2 linked regions of the Arabidopsis thaliana genome follow. The protein of the gene in region 2 interacts with the protein of the main gene of each other region in a pairwise test. Each region holds a gene or a part of one and is shown on either strand. Other genes may lie near its edges.

Region 1 (5,351 bases), about 20 Mb from region 2:
CAATGATCATTGGCAAGCTGCAAAACGAGTTCTTAGATATTTGGCTGGAACTACGACTCACGACATTTTCTTTGCTGCTCAAAACGAGCTCTCCCTTCATGCCTTTTCAGATGCAGATTGGGCCGGAGACTCAGAAGATTGCGTTTCAACAAATGCTTACATCGTTTACCTCGGGAAAAATCCAATCTCATGGACTGCCAAGAAACAAAAGAGCGTTGCAAGGTCTTCAACAGAAGCTGAATATCGATCGGTGGCAAATACTGCTTGTGAAATCCAGTGGATATGCAGCCTTCTCACGGAGCTTGGGATCACACTTCCCAAACCGCCTGTGGTCTATTGTGATAATGTGGGTGCTACTTTCCTTTGCGCAAACCCGGTTTTCCATTCCAGGATGAAGCACATAGCCATAGACTATCACTTTATTCGTGGACAAGTTCAGCAAGGCATTCTTCGTGTGGCTCACGTCAACACTAGAGACCAACTCGCTGATGCATTAACAAAACCGCTTCCTCGAAATCACTTCACGGAACTTCGAGACAAGATTGGAGTGTGCATAGCCCCTCCATCTTGAGGGGGCGTGTTAAGGATACATAGGATCATCTCTCTTTAATATCATAATATTCCTCTGTCTCCTTTATGGAACATTCTATATTTGTACAACCCTAGTGTAACCTCCTCTGTACTTGTATATATACTTGTGTAAAGCTATTCGTATAATATAAGTCATTACATTCTTAACAAGATTAACTAACTAATATTTTCATTTTTTGGTTGATAATCAATGATTCCATGGCATGCACGCACGAAGTCATGTGTTGTCTCTACAATGGCAGCCACTTAAAAAACCTACCAAACCATTTACAAATGCTTAACTACAATTTTGTTTAGCAGCCCCCTTATCATATATGTACCCACCCATTTATTGTTTCATTCATTCATGTGGCTCTTCAGCATAACTGCAAGATACTAGAGGCCACAAATTGCAGTAATTTGTATTTTGGAGTTAATACCTTTGATTTAGGACACTAATTATCTCGAGCACTTGATCAGCCAATCTAAAAGGTTGTCAAATCAAAATAATAGAAGTGTCGAAATCAAAATCAGACCAAAACCATCAATTTTTTTGCAATAGCAAGAAGAATTCAAAATTTGCTGGACCTGGACCAGTCTAATCTTTATGTCATATCATTAGCTCTTGTCGTCACCATATATTATAAATCATTTTGTTGGTAAATAAATGAAAAAAAAAAACTTTTCGACCTTTCTCCATCAAAGACCTTTTACAAAATTCCAAACCCAAAACTTTAGGTTAAATTCCTCGCTCCAGCCAGTATGTAATTACGTAAGCAACTATCAATTAAATATACAACTCAATTCACAATCATGAAGATAACTCGAATACAACGTGTTTTAGTATCATTTATATTTCGTAAGGAAAATAAGCTTACCGTTTATTGCTCAGACTGTAACGTCACGTGCCCACATGTTTGACCTTACACTCCATCACAATCTGCATTTCGAAGAATCCGATAAGATTGGAAATGATTTATATAATCGAACCACATTGTGGAACATTCAAGAGGAATCCACATTAGACAATCTAATAAACTGTTTAATATTTTGAAAAGAAAGATTTTACATGCAAATGGAAAACAAAGATCTCCGCGTCTCAAGTTATTTGAAATCTCATTTTGCATATGGTCGGTTATTACCGTTGACTTTTAACTTTATCGTCCATCCCAATGAAACAACACTTGAAATATGTAAAAAAAATAGCAAAATTGACCCAAAAAAAAGAAGGACTTAACGGATCAGTGATTATTTTCTTCGAGGCAAAACAATTACATGCAAATGGAAACAAAAGCCAATTCACACGCATAAAAGTCACAATTTTTACCTTATAATATTCCTACAACTTAAAATAACATAAAAAAAAATGTCTTTATCGAAACATCACTAAAGAAAAAGAAATCTCTCTATAGTCTTTATCTTAGTATTTAATTTCTCCATCTTCCTTATGATCCATTATGCCCAAAGTCCTTCTTCTTCTTCTCTATAATTACTTCCACAAATAGAAGAAGAAGAAGAAGAAGAATAATATAGAAAAAAAGAGAGCTTCTCTTCTTATTTCTTTCTCACAGGAAATGGTGTTTGGTTGGAGAAAAGCGTTTTGCACTTCCGTTTCAAGTAATCAAGATAAACCTCAACAACATTCATCATTACACACTACTGATCCTCCAATTCCCACACCAAGATTCCGATCAAAGTTTGGTTTTTTATCCAACCCTTCAACTCCTCGTCTCCGATCACGCGGCGGAAGCGGCACTGGATGCCGCTCCTCAGCTTCCACATCAGTCACTATCCCATCTCTTCCAACTAGTCCCAAACTCCATTGCAGGACTACGAGCAATGCTACTCCAAGGACTAGTAACAGCTCAAGTCCCAAGTTTTTCTCTAACCCTTCTTCTCCTAAATCATCATCTTCTTCTTCCTCTCAAGGCGGCGGCGGCGTCTCTCTCCTCCGTGCCACGCTTCTTCTCAACAAGGTAGTTACTTTTGATTCAATCAAGTTCTTAATTTGAAAGACATAATCTAAAGCTCCGTTTTGTGTGTGTGTGGATGCAGAGTAATAGTAGTAGATGTGCGATTTGTTTGCAGAGAGTGAATTCAAATCAAAGCAACTCGACGGCGGCAATTTTCACGGCGGAGTGTTCACATTCGTTTCACCTTTCTTGCGTCAATGGATTAGAAGACAAGCGTTGTCCGTTTTGCTCTGCCGCATGGAATCACGCGCCAAAGTCGAATTATCCGGCTGTTAATAATAACTTCGGATCCGACCCGATTAGACGACCCGAGATCCGAGAGATCAAAACGGGGAAGTCACTGAGAGTGTACAACGACGATGAGCCGTTAGCTTATTCGCCGGTTTCTCTTGCTCAGATCAACACTATACATGAATCAGACGAAAACGACGACGTTGAAGATGACGATGACTTCCCCGGATTCTTCCGAGATTCTTCGATTACGTCTGATATGGTTCCTTCAATCTCAGGAAATCTGGAGGTTAAGTTGCTGCCGGAATCTGCCGTTGTGGAAACCGGGAAAAAGAAGGAGACACACGTCGTCATCATGAAACTAAAAGCGTCTCCGTCGCCGTCGTCCATCACCGATGCGATTAAGGCGCGAAGACCATCGATAGATCTGGTAACGGTTCTCGATTTAAGCAACGGCGGTGCTAATTTGCAAACGGTTAAACACGCGATGAGATCGGTGATCTCTCTTCTCCGAGAAATGGATCGTTTATCGATCGTCGTTTTCTCGACGGGGTCAAAACGGTTAATGCCGTTACGACGAATGACGGCGAAAGGAAGACGATCGGCGCGGCGAATGGTCGACGCACTCGGCGGAATGGAAACCACCGGCGGAGTTGGAATGAGCGTTAACGACGCGTTGAAGAAAGCGGTTAAAGTCGTTGAAGATCGGCGGGAGAAGAATCCGTCAACGAGCATCTTTGTTTTATCGGACGGTCAAGATCAACCGGAGGCAGTTTTGAAAGCTAAACTAAACGCAACGCGCATTCCGTTCGTCGTGTCTACCACGCGTTTCTCTCGTCCGGAGATCCCGGTTCATTCCGTTTACATTGCTTCTCCTGGAGCGTTGCTTCACGCGCCGCTACGAGACGCGTTCACCGAAAGAATCGCTTCGTTGCTCAACGTGACTCTCCATAACGTGAAGCTAAATCTCAGTTTGGTCAACGGATCTCATTTGACTGAGATTTCATCGGTTTACTCTTTAACCGGTCGACTCGAGAATTTCGGATCCGGTTCTGTCATCCAAGTCGGAGATTTGTTTGCGGAGGAGGAGAGAGAGTTTCTCGTTGAGCTCAAAGTGCCGACTTCGTCGAGTGGTTCCCACCAAGTAATGTCCGTACAGTCGTCGATCGTTGACCAAATGACACATCAGCCAATGACATGTCCTAAAGAAAAACGATTTTTGATCCCACGGCCACAATCCGTCAGATATGTATCTTCAAGCATCGAACGGCTGAGAAATTTACACTCCATGTGCCGCGCTGTAGCGGATTCACGCCGGCTTATCGAGCGTGAGGATTTATCCGGAGCGTATCAGGTTCTAACGACGGCTCGGTCCAATGCGTCTCATTCGGATGATAGTTTAAGGAGTTTGGAGGTTGAGCTAAATGAACTTAGCCGGATTAAACCGAGAAATAGTATATTAAACCGAACTGAAGATAAACCGGAGCAGCTTACCCCTACTTCGGCTTGGAGAGCCGCCGAGAAATTAGCTAAAGTGGCTATTATGAGGAAGCATTTAAATCGAGTCAGCGATATGCACGGCTTGGAAAACGCCAGATTTTAATTTTAATTTCCCTTTTTTTCGAAAATTCGATTTCAATGATTTTTGAATATATAATGGTACATAATTTATATAAGGAGGATAAGCAATAATTTAGTAAGGTATAAATAATAGAAGTATGATTATTCAGAAAAAGACCCACATAGGTGCATGATAGCGACAAGCAGTAGCCGACGGGTGTGGCCTTTTGTATTGCAGAGAGATTGAGACCCTACATTAGAAGGAATTAATTGGTCTTTTAGCATTTTTATCTTCTTCTTCCTTTTTGTAATCTTCAAAAACTCCAAATTAATGACTGAATAGTTAAAAAAAGTTGTAGATCAAATAAATGAAGTCTGCTTTTTTTGTGTACTATATAGAATTAAAAGTTGAGGTATAGTGGATTAGAGAGTGTGCTTGTAATGCTGGACTTCAAAATCAAAAGTTAAGTTTATATTATCATATGCCGTTTAACTTAAGAGGATCTATAATATATTATATCTTTCCAAATGAATGATCATGATTAGTCATGTGATCATCATTATAGCCTATTTTGTTATAGAAGGCACCGGGTTTGAATGATTTGAATAGTGCGTGGGGATTGTCTTTGTTGGTTGTTGGTGAATGGTTTGGTGGGTGCACCGTGGTAGAAACCAGGTCATGCGCCGTTGCAAAGCTTTCTTCTCGCTTAAATTCATTCATTTTATATCATTAAGACATTTACTAATTATATGTAGCTAGCGCCAAGTTGCAATTTGTTTTGAATGCAATGATTTTGTATACTTTTAAAATGGATGAAATGATTAACTATTGTCAAAGGTCCACTTCTCGATGTGATTCACTAAAATGATCAGTGGCAGAAGAATCTCGAACTATATATATGGTCAAATCATAACTAAAAAAACTAAGCTATTATTTTTTCACAAAAAAAAAAACTAAGCTATCATTCATCACGCAGTTACATATTGCATATGGACAATGTTAATGTCAACTAATGA
Region 2 (4,673 bases):
CAAAGGAAGAACAATTCAATAGATCATAAATTTTACCACAATGAAAATGCATTCACTCAAGTTTAAGTATTGAAACAATGGAGACCCAACAGCGCCAATGTTGGACACAAAGCCAAGGGAAAACATAGATCAGACCTCTACATGAGTCGTCATAGGTTACATAAACGGATATATTGGGATTTTGGAGCTCGGGTCAAATTACTAATATGTTTATGCTAAAGTGCATTTGGATGGAATAAGTCCTTGCTGCAGTCAATGCATATTTATGTACACTATCAACATGAAATAGAAAATGGTAGATATTTTATTTGGTAGCAAAGATTGGCCAACCGTTTCAAAGTGAACTAAATATGCAACAAATTACTAGAAGAAAACTGAATGAAAATGATGAGAATAAGAAAATCCTGCTTACCGCGGTGATGGGAACCTGTTCGAATCTTCAACTCCTCAAATGGAGGAGGGCCATCACCAGCTTTGCTTTCCTGAGATCGAGCCAAACTAGCGTATTTTTTCTTCATCTGCCATTCTTCAGTGAGTGATTGCACATAACCGCCCAAGACAGTCACCTCTTTTGGAGTCAAACATACTAGACCATCACGTATCACAGCCTTATTTTCTAGACGTACCTGCCAACGAGACAGTACAAAATATCAACAATACAAAATGATTTATGATTTGCATATGACACCCTCTGATGCATGACAAACACATATGTGCACTAGCTTTCTATTGATTTAGATCTTAATCCAAACTATTATATTTGCATGAGACTTTCAGAAACATAGTAAAGGAGAATTTGAATTAGATTGATATGGAAATGGAACTACCTTAGTACCAGGAGTGACATCATTGTTAATCGTTGGTATATGAGAGTACTCAAGCGCGGATATTTCGGTCTTCCCGTCAGTCAGAGCGAATTTTAGCACTCGTTTACCAGTGGAACTTCCCACAAATTCCTCTGCGCTACTTCTTGTAACATCCCTAACATAACTTATCTATGCTCACAAAAGAAAACAAATTAACACTCAACAGCTTGAATCAACTGCAACAATTGAGCATTCTGAAACTAGTTTAAATCTAAGTATATCAGTGAGAGTGACTCATTGAATTAGCGAAGACCTAATGCCAATTGTTACTGACTTTAGCTGATTGAAGCAATGTACCTGGAGAACTTTGGGGCCTTGAAGATGAGAACACCTGCGTAACTCGGTCGGGTCCGGGAGGGATTTACCTCCGATTAACTTAATATCCATGTTAAGCAGCTCCGCCTCCACTGACTCCACGATGGCGCCTGTTTTATTGCCGCCGCCGATCAAGGAAGAGATTTCAGTGACCAGGGATTTCAAGTATTCGACGTCTCTGAAGCACCAGCCCCGACTAGTTAGGGCATTTATCACGACGGTGTGGGTGTGGTCGCCGGCGGAGGAGCTTGATGTTCCCACCATTGCGTTGATGCTCTTGTCGCGCTAAACCAATTGGGGAAGACGAGATTTTAATTTGGAGAATTGATTTTGTTATGGTCAATATCGAGTTAAACTAATTACTATTCACTAATGATACTTTTTGCATAAAATCGTTTTGATCAATAAAGAAGAACATTTTTAACAGAAAAACTAGAAAAGTAATTCGAAAAAGTCCTATAAAAAAGGTATTTTCCGGTTTCGTTTTAGTGGGCCTAATGGCCCATATGTAACACGAAGATTTCTGACAGTACGACTTCTAAAGTACTTTGCTTTCCTTGTTGAATTCCGACCAAAGTCGATAAAGAGTTATGACGATGGACGATGGTAACTCCGTCTACGTCGGCGGCCTCCCTTACGACATCACCGAGGAGGCTGTCCGTCGCGTCTTCTCCATTTACGGCTCCGTCCTCACCGTTAAGGTTAATTTTCTCTTTTCAATATCCTGATTTAAGTTTCTTAATTAGGATGATTCAAATTCGTTTCGTGATTTTGAAGTTCCAATCTTATTGTATGATCTTATAGATGATAAGCTTTAGTAGATATCTATGTAGAAAGACTGACCAAGTGATTTAGATAACATCCAATTGCTAGTTGATATATCTTACATGTGAGCTGGTCAGAGTGTATATTGACATATATGTGTACTATTTGAGAATTCAGATTGTCAATGACCGGAGTGTAAGAGGGAAATGCTATGGCTTTGTTACATTTTCGAACCGTCGATCGGCTGATGATGCTATCGAAGATATGGATGGAAAAGTATGGTTCTACTGCTAAAGTTTTGTTCTTTTGTTTATATTATCATGTACGTGGTGTGTTTATATTGTTGACGGTATTGAGCTCGTAATCAGAGTATTGGTGGGCGTGCAGTGCGTGTGAATGATGTGACAACAAGAGGTGGAAGAATGAATCCAGGTCCGGGGCGGTTACAACCACACGGTGGTTGGGATAGAAGTCCTGATAGGAGAAGTGATGGTAATTATGAGAGGGATCGGTATAGTGATAGGTCTCGAGAACGGGATAGGTCTCAGGATAGGAGAAAAGATCATCGCTACATAGAGAAGGAAAGAGCTTATGAGCATTCACATGATTTTGAGAGGAGGAATGATCATGATATGGTAGATAGAAATGGTTATAAGGAAAGAGTTTTCGATGGTGATGAAGGAGATTGGCGTGGGGATAGGTCTTATGTGGATAATGGTAGGGGAATAAATGGGACCAGTGCTCACGAAGGAAGGAGCCAAGAAACAAAGAGAGAAGATAGGTAAACTTTTGTTGAAAACAATGCAGTTGTAGACTTCACATTGGATTTCAAACTTTTAGTGTTCCTCCTGTTTCTTTGAATTGTGACATTCGTTGTTCTTGTAAAATTGGTCTGCTAGTTTGAATGAGTCAAAGACTGGGATGCTAGTCTTAGTCACGCCGCTAAACCAAATCATCCACACCTGTTGTGGTTAAGTTTGATAAATTATCATCGATTTTAGTGTAATGGATTTGAGGAAGTTTCTTGCTCTTGTTGGCTTTGTGCATGTTACCGTTTGAGGAATGTTTTGGCTTGCTTTGGTTTTGTTAACATGTCTAAATCTTTGTGTGTTCTTGTTGGATTGACAGTACCATTCTTGATGGTGGACGTGGCAGAGATCACTTCTCTAATTCAAGTGGAGATCATCAGGTAAAGATGATTTTCTTAGCCATGCAGTGTTTGCATAAATTCATTTTATAACTTGCAACTTCTATTACAGGTGAAAGAAGATCTGGAAGCGCTGATTAAGATGCGTGAGGCGCTTCGAGATGAGGTATGAGGTAGTTTATCTGTGCATATAGGCTGTTGGTAGATTTATTTTACATAATCACGAGTGATCCAATGAATTTATGGGCTACTTTCATTTTTAAGGTGATGGTGATGGAAGAGAGACTGGAAGTAAAAGAAGTAGTGTGCTCAGAGCTACAGAAGAAATCTAAGGTATGTGTCTTCTATATCTTACAACCCCAAAATGTTTGACTACAGATTTGTTCTCATTTGAAATGGTTAAGACAGAGATTAGAAGATTTGTTGATCAATGAAAAGAAACTGGTTTCACAACGCCGAAAAGAATTGGCAAAGGTAAGCATAGGTTCGATTCCTGTTCTAAAAGTCGGTTTTGTTAGGTAATGTTTGTTGACATTTGGTCTATGTTTGTGGTAGCTACATAAATCATATTCAAGGGTTAGAGAGTGCACGGACAACCTGAAAGACTGTGAACAAGAACTCCAGGTTAGTTTCTAAATTTTCTTATTCTAGTGATTGTCATTGCATAAAGATTAGGCCTAATCGAAACAAGTGTCTATTCTTTTCTCGCAGTTGCTTGTTAATTCAGCAGCTAGAGAAGGCGTGGCAGGTGCTGATGAAGGATTGGGACACGGGTATCCGTAACACGGTCACCCGCATGTATGATCTGTTTTGTCTAAAGTGTAGCTTTGATATGTCTTCTCTTTGTGACTTTCCGAGTTTTTTTCTAGTCGAGCTACACTAATTTGGTACATATTTACTTGTTTTGGCAAGTATGTATTCATTTCATTCGGGATGTATTATTATCATACGAACATGAACTAAATAATTATGTTTTCAACTTGCAACTGAAACCAAACAATCACCATACAAAGTGTGGAAGTAAAGTCTCAAAGCTTTGTTAGAGAAGAAGTCCTAGATAGTACTTGGCTATAGTTAAAATATTTTAGTAGATGAAGTTGACAAATTAACTATTTCTTTTTGTAATGTTTGCTTTGTTCTTTACTAATATAAAGATACTTGGCTACAGTGAAAATGTTATAAAAAGAGAGAAAAGAATAGACAGTTAAATTATTAAGGTTGACACAACCATCATCTCCACCGTCCATTACTCGTCAGCCGAATGTTTTTTATTTGATTAAGATGTGAACATCATCCATTGACCTATCGTTGCTTGTAAAGCCAAGTTAGCCAACCAACACTCAAATCATCATTATACGTGACGATCTTAAGAACAACCCCATTTAGGATACTCTATATGTTTGTCTTCTCATATAAATTTCATTATAGTAATATTAAGGCATTATCCATTATTCATATATATTCTTCAAGGCATGTTTCGTACATCTTATAGCAAACCAGTAGCAGTAAATAGCATAAGCAAATGTGTTCTTCTTGTCGCATGGCTCTAGTGGAATTCCACGTTTCTCCTTCTTCTCTTG

Evidence for each region.
Region 1: the proteins of AT5G19960 (region 2) and WAVH2 interact in a two-hybrid assay, tested with the Arabidopsis thaliana proteins (one large-scale study listed by BioGRID).

The regions. Positions count from the first base shown.
Region 1 is NC_003076.8:26,259,328-26,264,678, forward strand, and holds WAVH2 (Zinc finger (C3HC4-type RING finger) family protein), read left to right. Parts: upstream 1-1,808; 5' UTR 1,809-2,144; coding exon 2,145-2,546; intron 2,547-2,625; coding exon 2,626-4,377; 3' UTR 4,378-4,843; downstream 4,844-5,351. UniProt on the Arabidopsis thaliana protein: Probable E3 ubiquitin-protein ligase involved in the regulation of root growth. Acts as a positive regulator of root gravitropism.
Region 2 is NC_003076.8:6,742,258-6,746,930, forward strand, and holds AT5G19960 (RNA-binding (RRM/RBD/RNP motifs) family protein), read left to right. Parts: upstream 1-1,620; 5' UTR 1,621-1,771; coding exon 1,772-1,882; intron 1,883-2,123; coding exon 2,124-2,222; intron 2,223-2,259; exon of another isoform or gene 2,260-2,314; coding exon 2,315-2,727; intron 2,728-3,074; coding exon 3,075-3,135; intron 3,136-3,205; coding exon 3,206-3,259; intron 3,260-3,357; coding exon 3,358-3,426; intron 3,427-3,501; coding exon 3,502-3,567; intron 3,568-3,648; coding exon 3,649-3,717; intron 3,718-3,804; coding exon 3,805-3,876; 3' UTR 3,877-4,124; downstream 4,125-4,673. Other genes in the region: AT5G19950 (tudor domain protein (DUF1767)), read right to left, coding at 413-626, 828-995, 1,164-1,445.